2 linked regions of the Danio rerio genome follow. The protein of the gene in region 1 purifies or fractionates together with the protein of each later gene. This does not show direct contact. Links are inferred from orthologs where the notes say so. Each region holds a gene or a part of one and is shown on either strand. Other genes may lie near its edges.

Region 1 (3,759 bases):
AACAACACGTTATAAATGTTTAACATAATAGTGGAATACATTAGCATATCATAACTGCATTGTTCCTTTGCACAACATAGATTGTTTATCCATTAGCACAAACAGCTGCTCGAGTTTGTTTGTATGTTCACATGCTAAAGGGTCTTGCTCATTAGGTTGGATGTTTGTCATCTTTGACAATAAAATTTAGTTTTACAATTTACTATTCTGGTTTTTGGAACTTTCTCCCAGAGGCTATAATCTGCACTTTAACTAAAGAAATAGACATTTTATTTTGATAATTATTGATACTGACTCTGATGTAAACAATTTTAGCATATTAACATGGCCATACTGCCCAGTCCTACATAAACCACCGCATCATTTATTTTCAAGCGTCTCAAGACCACTTGCAGACCAATTGAACAAGGAATAATTTACAATAGACCATTGAATTTAGGCATAGAATGATAACCATTTTCAAGGTATACCGCGGTATGAAAAAGTCAAGGTTTTAAAACCATCAAATTTTTTTGCAATACTGTTGCTAAGGTGATGTGTAAGATTGTTTATTTACATTTTTCTTGCTTTTTTTTGGACAACAGTTTGTCCAGCATAAAAGATATCCAAAGATGCTGTTTTTAACTGTAAAAAAAAAATGTGTTTTTGAAATAAGTGAAGACAGCAGAAGTCAATGATTCATTTGAATTATTTAGTCTGAAGTTTACTGTTCCAGAATATTTTAAATGTTTCATAACATAAAATATATTGTGTTCAAAAGGGATTTTTTTGTTTTGTTTTACCCCGACATTTAAAAAGAATATATTATTTTAGAGCAGTAATCACAATACCATGAAACCGTGCAATTTTTATCAAAGGTTATCATATAGTCAGAATCTTACACCAGCCCATGCGTATTTAATTATTCAAAAATAATGCACAACCAAGGTGGTGATGCGGCCACAATGCAAAGCAGATGTGCATTATTTTCTAATTTAATGAATAAACCAGAGTAAATTATTCCACTTGTACTATGGTTTCCAGACTGAAAGACGTAATTTAAGACATTTGAGAGGTTTTTTCCATTAAACAGCTCTTGTGTGTTAAACTACTAAAGTCTTGTGCATACCAACTCATTATTTGATTTGTGACACTTGCAGCTTGTGAAACCATTCAGCATAATGATATTGAACTATAATGCTGTCTGGAACTGCTTTAGCCGTTTAAATAATTGAAAACTGAAAATAATTGCACACCTTAGAATGTTCATCAGACAATCAGAATCAAAAGTAGTATATAGAGGTAAAGTTGGTTTTATATTTGGATATATTTAGACATTCTCCTTAATAATAACATTTCAGAAAAGTATTCTTTGCTAATTCTAAATAGGGAAATCATATTAGCAGCAAATGACTATTAAAGTACAACACTGTTCACACAGATAGTGTAAATGTTGTTTAGAAGTCATATTTCCATGCTAATTCCGATTGAATATTCAAGGCAGGATGGTAAACAATATAGGGACTGCTAAATGAACGAATGTGCGAATATAAAACTAACTTTACCTCTACAAGTAACGTTACTATAACTCTGAATAAACGATTCGCCTTATTACAAAAGCTTTGAATGAATTAAGTGCAGAAACGAACAATTTGTTGTTGGAATCTCACAGCATTGAACAGAAGTGACATACTGACCGTTTATAACATGTTCCGGGGATATAGTTTTCTTTTCTGATTTATTGCAGATCTCGTTGGCCTCTGATGAGACGAGGTGAATGAACTCTGTGCAGCAGTTTACCACCAGCTCTCTGGCATCGTTCGCTACCCGCACATTGGGAAGCGTTTCTTTGATCATTTTATTGATCGCCGCCCTCGGGATGGTCAGATCATCGTCGTTCCCCGAAGAAGATGCCATGAGGGATGAGCAGCCGAGACGCTTCTGTGTTTGAAGGAGTCAAACCAGGAGAGGAGGCTCAACGGCTTTGTTGATGATAAAACACCGACAGCAGCGGCGGCTTTGTGTGGAGACTCAGATGGTGCGGTCGGTTTTCTCGGAGCAGATCACGAAAGGCTGGGAATACACACACGTGAACACATTTGAAAATCCGAAGACGTCGGAAAGACTGTGAGTGTTTGGCACAAGGAAGGGAGGAGGATGAGAGTCGGTACCTTTCGGTTTGATCAGTTTACGCTGACTCTCCACATCCACACATCAGTGCTGCTGCTTTTGCTGTGCACGTTTATAATCATGATTCAACTCCAAACATTCATTCTCGAGCCGCCTGGGTAACTGAACAGATCCCGCGCTTATTAGACTAAAGCACGGGGAGGAATGTTTTAAGCACCCGAATCTATTAATTCATTACTTCACCCGCTCGGTTAGCGATCAACGAAACGAACCCCACAATGCAACACTCCCGGATATCCGGTAATTCTTCTGCTTGTTATTGTTTCGTGGTGTTGCTCGGCATTGCCGCCTACTGTACAAAAATGATGTTACAATTTATGCGCATGTTTTCTGCTAAAAAAACAAACTGGCAAAAACTTTTTTTATTGTTTCAAGCTGAACATACAAATAAAATGGAACATATTTACAATATTCCATACTGTCATCTCAAGGTTGAGTAATAAAATAGGCAAACACAATATACATCGAAAGAATAAAACGACCAGTTTTTGTTAAATGAATTGCAATAAAATAATAAAGGAGCTTAGAAAATTAAATTAGCTTATAAAAATCCCAAAAATAGATGAGGTTATGGGCTTTTTTATCATTCAACAATTTTACAGATTCGCACAAAAGTTTTACCTCATTCACTGATTAAAGGAGTAGATTTGAACCATCTGCATTTGTGAATAAAGATTTTTCCCAAGCATAATAGAACAATGACAGCAAAATGAAAATTCTTTGTTTTCAAAGATACCAAACTTAACTGTTTTTGAGGGGAGGGAAATATACAGTCCTGGGGCCTCATGTATCAACGCTGCGTATGCACAAAAACTTTGCATACGCCAGGTTTCACGCTCAGAATCGCTCACGTTTGGATTTACTAACGATGAACTGAACGTGGGAATGTGCGCGGCTCCACGCCAGCTTTATGGCTGGCGTACGCACATTTTTTGTGCGTGTCTGTTTTATTTCCATTGGCGACTCGACAGTTGTGTTAAATTGCACTCTACAAAGTGTCTTTGAGCCTTGCAATGGCAGCTGTAGGAGACGGGTTCATCTAGCAGGTATATAAGATTTCCATAACATACAGTTGACCAGCCAAACATTAAAGAGCAATTTGCAGCGGTCGCCTGTTTTCCCATTGTAGTGGGGGCGATCTACTTCACGCACATTGCTATAAAGGCACCAACTGAAGATGAATTTGCACGCATGAATCAGAAACATTTCCATTCAATAAATGTGCAAATAAAATATGATGCACATACTTATTAATGATTCCTACTTGTCTTTCTCGTGATAAATAGTAGGCAAAATCTGATATGCTGGAAAAAAAAGAAGAATGAGTTCATCAGACGCTGGATTCGAACCGAGTTCATGCTCGAACGTGTCAAAACATGCTACCTTGCGTTTTACGATCTGTGCCACTGAGACTATTAAGGGTATTACAACATTTTACACCTATAAATCACACTATTTCTCTTTTAACTCCACAGTGCGTTGTTCAGATCCAACTGTGTTAACCGCATCAGCTAAACTCTCCCCACTCTATTTTTTCTTTTGTTGTTAATTCCGGAGGACAAACTTGCAAATAACACAGTTTTCCTCCGG
Region 2 (3,659 bases), on another chromosome or scaffold:
TTTATTTTGTGTTTCTTTTTGACGCCTAGTTTAGATTTTAGATTTAAGGATTGCTTTGTTTTGTTAATTTCTTTGATTTGGCTTACACTCATTGTTTTTGTTTAAAGATAATAATTATAAATGTTTTTTTTCCCCATTTATTATTGTTACATGTTTCAATTATTAAGTAAAAAGCTTAAATAAGAGTAACTGAACCTTGCCTCATTCTTGATCTGTCGCACACATTACACCTGTGTCACTTAAATATTACAGCATCCCACTTTAACATCATAAAACACGTAACATTTAATTGGTGGCAGCGGTGAGATTATTTAAATTTATCTCTTTATGGGATGAAGTGAGACGATGTGTGTTTGACAGCGGATCAATTTTGAGTTTTGAGTGAATGAAGATTAGTGATTGAGTGGAGTTTTAGAGCATAATATTAGTATGGCTGAGTTTGATTTAAACAGTTTCGTTAGTGCACCATCTGTTGAACAATTGGATACCTTTCGAAAAGATGATTTATTAAAGATGATTTTGTTAAAGCCAAAGGGAGTAAATCTCTCCAACACAAAACACTTACTAGAAATGTTGTTTGTGTGTTGTAGAAAATAGACCAATACTTCTAAATTGTGATAATTGTTGGTCAAAATCTTTATAACGTTATAAGCGGATCACTTTAAAAAGATATATAATTTAATTAAAAATAAACTGAAGATTATTTTGTTTGTTGGATAATTTAGCTTGTTTAAAAGTAAAACTAAGTTAAAAAAAATAAATTAGAATTTTTTTATTCACAATTTTTTAAATATTTGGACTTGAAACAAGTAAAAAATTCTAAGTAAGAAAAACTTTTTTTATGAACCTGCATTCATCCTCGAAACACAAACGAAGATTATTTTAGATAATATCCAAGAGCTTCTTCATCTACAGAAAACAACAATGCTGAAATGTTCTAAAAAGGACCCAAGGCATTGTCAAAACATTTCATGTGACTTTAGGGATTCAACTGAAATCATACAAAAGCTATAAGAATATTTTTGTATCGAAAATAATACAATAAAAATTACCCAAATAAGGGTACTAATTTAAAGTGATAGTTGACACATAAAAAAAAAAATTCTGTCAATATTTATTCACACTTTACTTGTTTCAAACCTGTTTGAGCTTCTTTCTTCTGTTGAACACAAAAGAAGATCTATGTTGGAAATGTAATCATTGGCTTCCATAGTATTTGTTTTTCCTAGTATGGAAGTCAATGATTACAGGTTTTAAGCTTTGATCAAAGTATCTTCTTTTGTGTTCAAGAGAATAAATAATCTCATAAAGTATTGGAACCCATTGAGTAAATAGTGACTAAATACGCATTTTTGGATGAATTATCTCTTTCATATGGGCAATACAATGCAAGGAAGTTTCACTGCTGACTCTATTGGCAATATGTCACACTGTCAGTCATGGGACGAAAACCGGTTTCAAGGTTTACCGCGATTTGAAAAATTCAAAGTTTTAAAACCCGCAAAATCTTTCTGTTTAACCACTTCAAATGTATGTTTAAGAGTTTTTTAAGGTTTGTAAAGAAACCTGGTTTTGAAACTAATGAAGATAGCAAATGCCTTTTTTTATTATTCTTTAGTCTGAGATGTTTACTGTTCCAAAAAATTTTAAATGTTTCCTAAAATAAAATATATTGTGTTCATTAGGGGGGAATTTTTTTTTTTTTTTTTACCAAGACATTTAAAAATAACTTATTTTACAGCAGTAATCACAACACTGTGATATTTTTATCCAAGGTTGACACCGTCAGAAACTTATTCTGCCCCATGTCTACATACTGCCAAAAGTGAATGTGGTTTCATACACAAAAGCGATGTTGGAGCCTTGTAGATTAAAGTTGAACTACTGAAGTCACATGGAATGATTTAGATCCTTTTTTGGACTTTTTAGTGCAGTGCTGTCAATAGCTATGTTTTTCATCCACCTAATATTATTATGTGCATTTTAGATGTGCGCATAAAAAATGGTTGATAGAAATGCCAAGATGCACATAAACTTTGAATATTAACTTTTTATTCAATAAGAAACAACTGCTATAAACTACGATAGAAACACTTTTACCAAACTAATTTCAGGATGCGCATTAAAAAGTCATGTGATTTTTTTTAGAGGAGAGCGTGTGATTATAATAACATGTAAGTGAATGGACAAACCAGCAGGCTGACCACATTGTAAAATATCTGAAATGTTGTTTTGGTCATTCTAAAATGCTGTAACTATTTCAGTATTAGTGGTAATATATTATTTATTACGTCCAGAACTGTCAAAAGTGACTGTGCTCCGCATCTCACATCTTCAAACGCCACCACGCGCTTATTGCATGTCGGCATTGTCTTCAAATAATTTATTAAATGAATAAGATTAATGCAGCTCATCCTACCACAGCAAATTCTGTTTTTATTTTTGATATTCGGCACCAGTTAACGATTTTGTTCTCTTTGACTCTTTGGGTTTAAATGCTGCTTCATTCACAAAACTTTTATGCAATATTCCAGTTTTGCACATAAATTTAATTTCCATCTTTAGATGGAAACATGGCTAAGGGAGGATGAGAGAGCTCTCAAATTTCATCTAAAATATCCTAATTTGTGTTCTAAATGTTGCATAAAAGTCTCAGGGGATTGGAATGACATGATTATGAGCCCTTAATAACTGAATTTTCATATTTGGGTGAACTAATCCTTAGTGTAAAGTAAAAAAAACTAGCAATCACCTGGTGTAATTGACTTTATAACCAGCTACATCATCATCTGGTGCTCTTTGTCTTTTTTGTGAGGGCGTTTCTAGCTGCCAGTAGTTGATCTGGTTGAGGAACATCTTTGCGAGCTCCACAATGGTTTGTCTTTCCTTAGACGGAAGGTGGCTAAACTTGTACTGCACAAAGTTGTTCACACCCTACAACAAAAACAACACAGGAAAAAAACATAAATGTGTCTCCAACAGCAAGGATTTTAGGAATGTGTCTTTGGGTGTTTAGCATATTTGTACATCAGAATTATAGTACAATGCCTACAAATTAAGCAAGAAAGCTGGAGCTTGTGGTTTTCACCAAAGTCTGTTTTAGAAGAAAAGTTATAAAAAGTTATATCATAAATGCTCATTCCTGACACCAATATCACTGATGTTCGCACATGATCATGATGAAGAGGTTGACTTGTTAGTTAAGTATGTCACCAAACACATGCAGCTTATTAAATGTAAAGATTAAGACAATGATTCATTCGTAATGATGAAAAAATATTCTTGCTATTTACAGTTGAGAAGTTACCTGCTCGATGCTTGGTTTTTCAAAAGGCGGGCTTTCCAGAGCCTCCACCACTGGCCTTCCCATCTGCAGGATGCATTTCCTTAGCAGCTGTAACAGTTTAAACAAATAAGCTGGACAAACAGTTGCAAACCGAATATATACAGTTGTAATAATATACACAGAACATATACGGAATGTAAAATTACATTAATATACACTCAACGGCCACTTTATTAGGTACACCTGTCTAACTGCTCGTTAACGCAAATTTCTAATCAGCCAATCACATGGCAGCAACTCAGTGCATTTAGGCATGTAGACATGGTCAAGACGATTTGATCTACTGCCGTTCAAACTGAGCATCAGAATGGGG

What was found. Proteins that work in one complex are often made in the same cells at the same time.
Region 2: the proteins of dr1 (region 1) and kat2b purify together in Homo sapiens (affinity purification with mass spectrometry; 3 studies listed by BioGRID and IntAct, with this or other methods). This does not show direct contact. The link is inferred for Danio rerio from reciprocal best matches to the Homo sapiens genes DR1 and KAT2B.

Annotation. Positions count from the first base shown.
Region 1 is NC_133181.1:26,454,815-26,458,573, forward strand, and holds the start of dr1 (protein Dr1), read right to left. Parts: upstream 2,402-3,759; 5' UTR 1,897-2,401; coding exon 1,677-1,896; intron 1-1,676. UniProt on the Homo sapiens protein: The association of the DR1/DRAP1 heterodimer with TBP results in a functional repression of both activated and basal transcription of class II genes.
Region 2 is NC_133194.1:23,130,979-23,134,637, reverse strand, and holds part of kat2b (histone acetyltransferase KAT2B), read right to left. Parts: intron 3,395-3,659; coding exon 3,308-3,394; intron 2,935-3,307; coding exon 2,753-2,934; intron 1-2,752. UniProt on the Homo sapiens protein: Functions as a histone acetyltransferase (HAT) to promote transcriptional activation. Has significant histone acetyltransferase activity with core histones (H3 and H4), and also with nucleosome core particles.